2 linked regions of the Mus musculus genome follow. The protein of the gene in region 1 purifies or fractionates together with the protein of each later gene. This does not show direct contact. Links are inferred from orthologs where the notes say so. Each region holds a gene or a part of one and is shown in the gene's direction. Other genes may lie near its edges.

Region 1 (4,223 bases):
ACTCCTTCCTGCTTTTCATGCATTCTTATCCCTATTCTCTTCATCAGAATCCTGGTAGGTCAGAGCTCATCTAGTCTAACTGCTCCAATCTATGGGAGAGGAATGGAGGTTCATACAGGTTACTTAGTTACATGGCTGTGTCCATGTGGTGGTTAGAGCCAAGCCAGGCTTTTCACTCCCAAATCCACCCTGATGCGATCTAGACACCTTATGGGTAAACGGGATGCTATGGGTAAGAAGTCCTTTCTGCCCTCAGTGTGTGCTTTTTGAGGCTAGGAATGTGGCTCAGTTGGTAGAGTGCTTGTTTAGCATATAAGAGATCCTGGTTTGATTAGCCAGCACCCTAAAACTGCATGTGGTAGTGCTTGTGGTAGTTGGGGAGATAGTCAGGAAGATCAAAAATTCAAGGTTATTGTTGACTGCCTGTGGGGTTTGAGTCCAGTATGAGCTACACAAGCCTCTATCTAAGAAAGATTGAGCCGGGCGTGGTGGTGCACGCCTTTAATCCCAGCACTCGGGAGGCAGAGGCAGGCAGATTTTTTAGTTCGAGGCCAGCCTGGTCTACAAAGTGAGTTCCAGGACAGCCAGGGCTATACAGAGAAACCTTGTCTCAAAAAAAGAAAAAGAGGGCTGGTGAGATGGCTCAGTGGGTAAGAGCACCCGACTGCTCTTCCGAAGGTCCAAAGTTCAAATCCCAGCAACCACATGGTGGCTCATAACCATCCGTAACAAGATCTGACTCCCTCTTCTGGTGTCTCTGAGGACAGCTACAGTGTACTTACATATAATAATAAATAAATCTTTAAAAAAAAAAAAAAAAAAGATTGAATATTTGACTGGGATATAGTTCAGTGGTAGAATACATGTAGCATTTGGGAGGCTCTGCATATGGGCCCCAGAATAACAAAAAGATTGATTGATTGATTGATTGATTGATTATAACTATGAGTCCTTACAGACTTAAAGCTTACTCTTTTGTACCAAAACAAGGTGGGGGTCATTGAACCACAAAACCCTTAGCTCTACAGTTTCTTGTCTTTTCTTTTTTTTTTTTTTTGGTTTTTTTCGAGACAGGGTTTCTCTGTATAGTCCTGGCTGTCCTGGAACTCACTTTGTAGACCAGGCTGGCCTCGAACTCAGAAATCTGCCTGCCTCTGCCTCCCAAGTGCTGGGATTAAAGGCGTGCGCCACCACCGCCTGGCCGTCTTTTCTTAAAGTACTTAGAAAATCCCTCTCAGATTTCAGATTACCTCCTCCAGGACCAGAAAATTTTGGGTGTCAGTTGTGTGACAGGAAGAGCCTGAGATGGGCTTTAGTGTAACAGACTTTCTGTTAGTATTAGTGCTTAGTAAAAGCTTTGAGGAACTTGGGGAATTTCTCTTCCTGGAGCATTACATTACCTTGTGGATACATGAGTGGTCCTATCCCATGACACCCCTTAGTACTGTGCCTGCCTTTCTTTTCCCCCTAATCACCTTTGGATCGTTTGTACTTGAAGAGCTTTTAAATTTTATCCATTTGTATGAATGTTTTGCCTGTATGTATGTGTGCCACATGTATGCCTGGTGCCCACAGAGGTCAGAAGAAGGAATTAGATCCCTGTACCTGGAGTTGATGGATAGTTGTGAACCACTATATGGATTCTGGGAACCAAACCCAGACAGGCCCTCCTCAAGAACAAGTGTTTTTGTTATGTTTTTGGTTTGGTTGGTTGGTGTTGGTTGGTTGGTTTTGAGACAGGGTCTCTTTAGTGTTGGTTGTCCTGGATTCGATCTGTAGATGAGATTGGTCTCAAAGCCAGAGATCCTGCTTCTGCTTCCCGAGTGCTGGCGTTGAAGGCGTGCACCACCAGGCCCAACTCAATGATAATTTGTTGTTGTTTTTGTTTGTTTGTTTCTTTGTTTGTTTTTTTTTTTTTTAGTCTCATGTAGTTCAGGCTGTCCTTGGACTTGCTATCTAGCTGAGGATGACTTAATTGCTTCTACCTCCCAAGTGCTAGGATTACAGGTGTGCCACCAACCCTGCCTAGTTTTTTTTTTTTTTTTTAATGGTTTTTCAAGACAGGGTTTCTCTATGTAGCCCTGGCTGTCCCGGAACTCACTCTGTAGACCAGGCTGGCCTCAAACTCAGAAATCCGCCTGCCTCTGCCTCCCGAGTGCTGGGATTAAAGGCTTGCGCCACCACCGCCCGTAGTTTGGGTTTTGAGGCAGGGTTTTGCTATGCAGCCCAGCTGGCCTTGAAGTGAGGGTAATGTGACTAGGAAGAGCTTCATTTTTTTACTAACCAAATAGCATTTTGAGGGGTGAATCTACTAATAGTGTGCTAAAAATCTTGTGACCAGTCCTCTAGATCTGTTTTCCCCATTTGTCAGAGGAAGTTACTATCTACAGTAATGTCTGCAGCCCAGATGCTTAGGGTAAGACGAGTAACATACTAACTTGCATGAGTTGGACACATGAGAACCACAGAATGAGCAATTCATTTCTTCTTGTCCCTCCCTCTCCCAGTAGTGGCAGATTGAATCCAGAGCCCTGTGTGGGCTGAACAAGATCTCTACCACAGCTATTTCCTTGGCCACGCTTCACTCTGTGTGGATTAAGATTTAAGTTTGACTTGGCAGGCTGAGACAGGAGGATTTACACGAGTTCAGTACCTAAACTGCAGAATGAAAGAGACCTTGCCTCAGAACAAACAAATATTTAAAAAGCTTATGTCTGATTATACACATGATAAAATCATGTGTCACAATGATTATTATTTAGGGGTTCTGGCCCAGCCCGTAGTAACTTGTCTTTCCTTGTGTGATAGCTTAGTGATGGTTCTTCTTGTCCCTTGAGGCAGAATAGGAGGCAAATAACAGAAAAGAGAGCCTCTTAGACTCCTGAGCCTTTGAGAGAAGCAGTTGACAGGGAAGAAGGGTGACGTGGCCCCACCTTCTGTTTTACCTTCCTACAGCCTTGGCGAGCAATACTACAAAGATGCCATGGAACAGTGCCACAATTATAACGCCCGCCTCTGTGCTGAACGTAGTGTGCGCCTGCCTTTCCTGGACTCACAGACTGGAGTAGCCCAGAGCAATTGTTATATCTGGATGGAAAAGCGACACCGGGGACCAGGTAAAGTTTCAGGCTTTGGGAAAGGTGACACAGGAGCACAAGAAAGTGTCTGTTGTCCCTCAGGAGATGGGGTAGTTGAAGGCTCCTCCACTGCTCACCCCAGTAGATGAGAATGGAGAGGACGAAGCAGCCAGCCTTTGTTTTTGGCCTCTGAAGCAGCTATGATCTCCCGATGACTAAGAACAGCTGCGTACTTCTGCTGATATCTGTTTTTCTTTTCCATGAAGTATCCCCACCTGGCCCAGGCTCACGTGTTCTGTATCACTCCCTTGCTCTAGAACTCAACAGAGTTCTCATCCACAAAATGTTTGCCATCATTTTTTGGGGCTGGATTAGGGCTTAATTGTTCTTCCTTCCTCTCTTCCACAGGATTGGCCTCTGGACAGTTATACTCCTATCCTGCCAGACGCTGGCGGAAAAAGCGCCGAGCCCACCCACCTGAGGATCCCAGGCTTTCTTTCCCATCGATTAAACCAGGTAGAGGCTGGGGGGTGGGAGGGCTCAGTTGCTTAGAGTACTCGCTTAGCATGCACAGGGCCTGGGTTTAATAGCCAGTTTTGCATAAATGGAACATGGTTGTTTATTCCTATGTAATAATAGCATTGAGGAGGTTGGGGCAGGAGGATCAGAAATTCAAGGTCATTCTCTACTAATTGGAAGTTTGAGACCAGCCTGGGCTACATCAGAGCCTCAAAAAAACAAACAAAATCATGAAATTATCTCAAAATAATATGGACTGGAGAAGTGTCCTAGTGCTTGGTGTGTGAACACAAGGGTCTAAATTCTAGAGTTTATACAAAAATATCAGTGTAGTGCTGGGCAGTGATGAGCCTTTAATCCCAGCATTGGGAGGCAGAGGCAGGCCTGGTCTACAGAGTGAGTTCCAGGACAGCTGGGGCTATACAGAGAAACCCTGTCTCGAAAAACAAACAAACAAACAAACAAACAGCTCAGTTGGCCGACATTTTCCTATAATCCCAAAACTATGAGTACAGCACTGTGCCTTCTAGCTGCCAGTCTAACTCAGGGTTCAGTGAGAGCCTCCAAGGCAATACGCAGAGTGTGATAGAGCAGGACACCCAATGTCCTTCTCCAACATGTGTACCC
Region 2 (4,752 bases), on another chromosome or scaffold:
TCTGCCTCTTGAATTCTGGGATTAAAACTGTGTGCCACAATGCCTGGCTTGGAACCACAGTCCATAATAACCTATCAGTTTTATTTAGTCAAACATGAAAACATGACTGGAAATAGAATTGTTTTGGGGTGCTGATCGGCAGTGAGCACTGATCATGGGGACCACAGTACACAGCACTGAGGCAGGCTGTGTTAGGTGTTGCATACATTGAGAAGTAAGCAACCCCTCCCACAGGTCACTTGGCAGTAATGTGCTCTACATCTTAACCAGACACATCACCTCAGGCACAGCTGTGAATAAGCTTGGCTATGCTCCAGTAAAACACAGCACAAGGTTTCTGACATGGGAGTATCATAGTATTCTTAAAACTGTTTTTGAATCATTTAAAATGTAGTAATACACACACGGTGGCATGTGCCTATAATTCCAGTACAAGGAGGCAGAGGCAGGAGGATTACAACTTGGAGACTAGCCTGGCCTACACAGTGAGACTTTCTCTCAAAAAACCCAAATCCAAACCATCACTGTCAGCTCACAGCACACAGTGTCAAGTGAACGGGAGAGCATTTTCTTACTAGCGTTATTCCTGAACCTATGACAGACAGGTCAATTCCTGCCACCTTAATGGCAGGGAAATGGATGAGAGTTTATTCAACCCACCTAAGGTTACAAGTAGCCACTATGTAGCTAGACCCTAGACACTTCAATTTAAGCACTGCTACCAGGTACAGAGCTACATTACACTTGAGCTTTGGAATGGCAGGACTGGTTTGGGCCTTTGGTTATATAGATCAGGCTATCTAAGGCCTAGAGAAGCAGAGGGACAAATTGTTGCAGTAATTTGGGGTAAGAAAAGACAGTGTTCTGGGCGACACTGATAGAGATGTAGACTAAGAACAGTAGACACGGATTGGGGAGGTATTTACAAATGGGTGCTTCCTTGAATAGTGCTCCACTTGCTTGGTGAATGATTTTCACAGAAATGAAAGAAACTGAAGTCATGATTTTTAAATGCTATCTAAATCTAGCTGGAAAAATGTACTGTCTTTTAATATAAATAGCCATTGTTTAAAATGATGGATCCTATTATTATATCTGATTTGCTGATTAATTCAAAGTGAAGTGCACATTTCTTTTTCAAGTATAAATGTTAGTTGAAGTATTTCTGCTTAAAAAAAAAAAAATTCCGAATTCATCACAATCAAAGGCCAGGGATCTCTCCCAGGTAACTAACTCAAGTTCCAGATTCCTTGCACTCAAGTTCCTTTGGCTCCTGGGGAGCAGCCATCCTTTAGAACCAGAGCGGTTGATGGCCTGAGGCAAGCCTCTTAATTCCCAGTACCTAATTAACTCACTCTCGAAACCCGGCCCACTCCTGCACCAAGCCCCTCCCACTCGCCCGCCCACCTAAGACTCCTCCTACTCTATTCGCGCGCGAAGCACAGCTCCACCCACTCCCCCCGCCTTGCTCCTGGAAGCTCGGTCCACCCTACCGGCCGCTCGCGAAGCTCCACCCACCTCACCCGCCCGCGAAGCTCCGCCCCCTCCTGCCCGTACCCCAACACCTTCCCTTCTTCTGTCGCTTCTCCCTCTCCCTGCCCCTACGGATGCCTTCCATTGGCTAAGACGGCTAAACCGCGCGGGGATGCAGCAGCGCCACACTCTGATTGGCTAATGACTAAGCCGGACCCTTTGTCATTGGTTGATACGAGAAACCAGCAAGAGTGGCTGTGCAGCGGGCGTGCGGCCGCTGCTTTGTTGCCGGAGGGGGCGGCGTTGGAAGTTGCAGGCTTGCGGGGCCGGCGTTCTCAGGGAGAGGAGTCACGCCGCTGTTATCTTTCGTCCGGTAGTCTTCGGCCAGTCCCCGCCAGACAGTAGCCATGAGCGGCGGCGTGTACGGCGGAGGTGAGTGAGCGCAGCGGCGCCTCGGGGCGTGCGGACCGGAACGACCGGCCTGGTCCCTAGTCGCTTCCGTTTCCCTCCGGTCCTCGGCGGGCCCTTCCGGTCTTTGGACGGTGCTTCCGGTCCCCGTATGGGCCACGGCCTCTCCTTCTCTTCGGACCCGGGCCGGCGCGCAATAGGTTTCCGGCTTGTCCCGTCGCTGCTCCGAGATGGCCTCAAGGAAGGGCCTTGGCGCGTCTTACCGGCTGGGCTCTGATGGCAGTCCCTGGCACGCCGGGTCCCTCACTGTACCGGTTCCGCCGCGCGTTGGTCCCGGGCAGCTCGCGGAGGTTCCGGGCCCCCGGGGTTGGCACTGGGTGCGAGTGGCGCCCGGTGTTGCGGCTGCTGCTCTGGGTCCTTCAGCAGCCACTACAGCCTGGACATCGTTCCAGGCGTGCTCGGTCCCCAGATGAGCGGATCCCTGAGGTACAGGCTGCAGTTCTCCTGTCCGGCTGGGCGGGAGCCTTTTCTAGATCGGCGATAACGAAAACAAGGCTTCTAAGTACTGTTTTGTTTAAGAGTAGTTACCTAGTTAGAGACTCTCCTCTAGGGGGGATGTTGACAGGAGATGGTGCTGCCATCCCTCACGTTAACGAAGAAAAAAATATTGGCAAGAGTTAAACAACCAGCTCAAAGTTTAAAGACTCGTTGTAAATTGGGAGCAAATTGCTTCTGGGATGAGGCAGGGGTATTCCTTTCTCTGCCGTGTACAGGTAACACGCACCCATCAAGAGTTAAATAGTATCCTCACACTAACAAATCTATATCTGCATTGAGTCAGTAGATCTGTGCCCACTCATTTTAACTGCTGTGTAGGGTTTTCTGAGAATAAACTATAGTAGTTTCTCTAGGAACGGTAGTCTTTTCCCTGGCAAGAAGTGTGACAGTAATAATTACCGTTAGCTAATATTTATCGGCTTATTGTTTGTCAGCACTGTAAGTGCTTTATACATTAAAACATTCAAGGCATTTAGTCATCCTATCCTATGAGGTAAGTATTAAATACATTTTTCGGATTAAACTGTAGCAGAGAAGTTAGTAAATTACCCATCTCACATAGTGTATTAGTCATTTTTCAGTTGCTGTGATTAAAAAAAAAAAAAAAACCAAGAAACAAAAAAACAAAATCAGCTTCTAGAAGAAAGAGTTTACTTTAGCTTATGATTCCAGAGAGGTAAGAGTCCAGTTTGAGAGAGGTATGGCAGCTAACAGCAGGCATGATGGTGGGGCAGGAATCTGGGCTCACGTGTCCAACCTCAAGCATGAAGCAGCTGGAAATAGTGGGGGCTTTAAACTCAAAGCCTGTCCCCCAGTGACAGCTTCCTACATCAAGGCCCACATCTTCTAAACCTCCATAAACAGCACCACCAACTGGGGCCCAGATGTTTAAATATCAGCGTCTATAGGAGACATTTTCATTCAAACAGTTGCATATGCATCTCCTTTTAAACTAGGAATTTCTCCAAACTGGGTATGTCTAAACTAAATAGCTCTGTGATTCTCTTTGGGTGCCTCTTTGTAACTAGCACCAAACTGGGTAGATTGGGCATAGATTGGCTTTAACTAGAGAAACAGAAGAACTTTTAAGGCCTTAGCATTTGAGTAATGTAGGTAAGTAGGATTAGTGTTTTAAATTTTGAGGGGGACCCCATTGAAAAACCAGTACTGAGAAACCCAAGTGCATTATCCTAGGAGGCCTGCTGTTTGGGGTGAAGTATTTGGAAAATATACATGGAGGCTTTTCTCTAAATTAGACTGAAAAAGATTGCCAGCTTTTTTCTTACCACTAAACTGTCTCCTAAAGTCTGGAATGTGTAACTTAAATGATACGTTCATTAAATGCTTTTTACTTGGCCTGTATAAATTACACTCTAATTTCCATGCTGTGCAGTTTTCATATTTTGCTGTGTTTCTTCATTTCATGAAACAAAACATAATTCCCCATAATTGATGAAATTGTACTAGGATGTATTCGGTGGTTTTTATTTTTCTTTCCTTTGTTTGTTTGTTTGATTTGTTTTGTGCCACCAGATTCCCTTGCTGTCATTTATACACATCTTGTGCCTGTAGAGATGGCCTCTGGGCTTTCTCAGCCTCTGGTTTCAGCTTTGAACTTTGATTTGGTGATGGTAGGGTAACTATACTTTTTGCCTGTGCTTTTTGTTTTAGTATAATCGTTAAAAGCTGGTGTTCCCCACCCAAGTTAAAATGCCCCAATTTGGATGCTGCATTATAGAGTCTTCCTGGGATTGCAATCTGAGCTTGGCCCTCCCTCCCTGAATAGGCAGCTTAGCTCTGCATCATTCAGCTGTTACCACAGCTCTCAGCAGAAACCTTCTAGGTTCTGGGAACAGTTTCTTCTTGTTTCCTCAGTTTAAGGATTATGAGGGCAGTCCTTTGTTCATCCTTCTGTACCTGGACTATAGAAGTTTATAATTAGTTCCTTTAGTAAGGAAACTACTACCTGCTGTCAGTGTACCATGGCTTTCCTGATTAAACCTCCATTGATAAAACAGTATGACTTGCCATATTTTAATTAAATACATCTTGAAGGTGCATTTAATACTAGGTTCATGCCAGACATGGTGGTGCATAGTTTTAATCCACTTGAGAGTCAGAGACAGGATCTTTGTGAGTTCTGTGACACGTAAGATCACAGAGACACCCTGTCTTGAAACAACAATGGTAAACACTAGATTCTAGCTAATCATGTGTGAATGTAATGGATTTTTACAAAGTTTTAAATTTTCATTTTATATACATAAAATATGTCCTTTTCTTTGTTGAGACAAGAGTTTCTCTGTGTAGTTC

Evidence for each region. The genes of interacting proteins can lie anywhere in the genome.
Region 2: the proteins of Dpf2 (region 1) and Actl6a purify together in Homo sapiens (affinity purification with mass spectrometry; 5 studies listed by BioGRID and IntAct, counting the BioPlex papers as one, with this or other methods). This does not show direct contact. The link is inferred for Mus musculus from reciprocal best matches to the Homo sapiens genes DPF2 and ACTL6A.

What each region holds. Positions count from the first base shown.
Region 1 is NC_000085.6:5,905,894-5,910,116, reverse strand, and holds part of Dpf2 (zinc finger protein ubi-d4), read left to right. Parts: intron 1-2,955; coding exon 2,956-3,116; intron 3,117-3,485; coding exon 3,486-3,593; intron 3,594-4,223. UniProt on the Homo sapiens protein: Plays an active role in transcriptional regulation by binding modified histones H3 and H4. Is a negative regulator of myeloid differentiation of hematopoietic progenitor cells. Might also have a role in the development and maturation of lymphoid cells.
Region 2 is NC_000069.6:32,706,976-32,711,727, forward strand, and holds the start of Actl6a (actin-like protein 6A), read left to right. Parts: upstream 1-1,570; 5' UTR 1,571-1,880; coding exon 1,881-1,905; intron 1,906-1,960; exon of another isoform or gene 1,961-2,367; intron 2,368-4,752.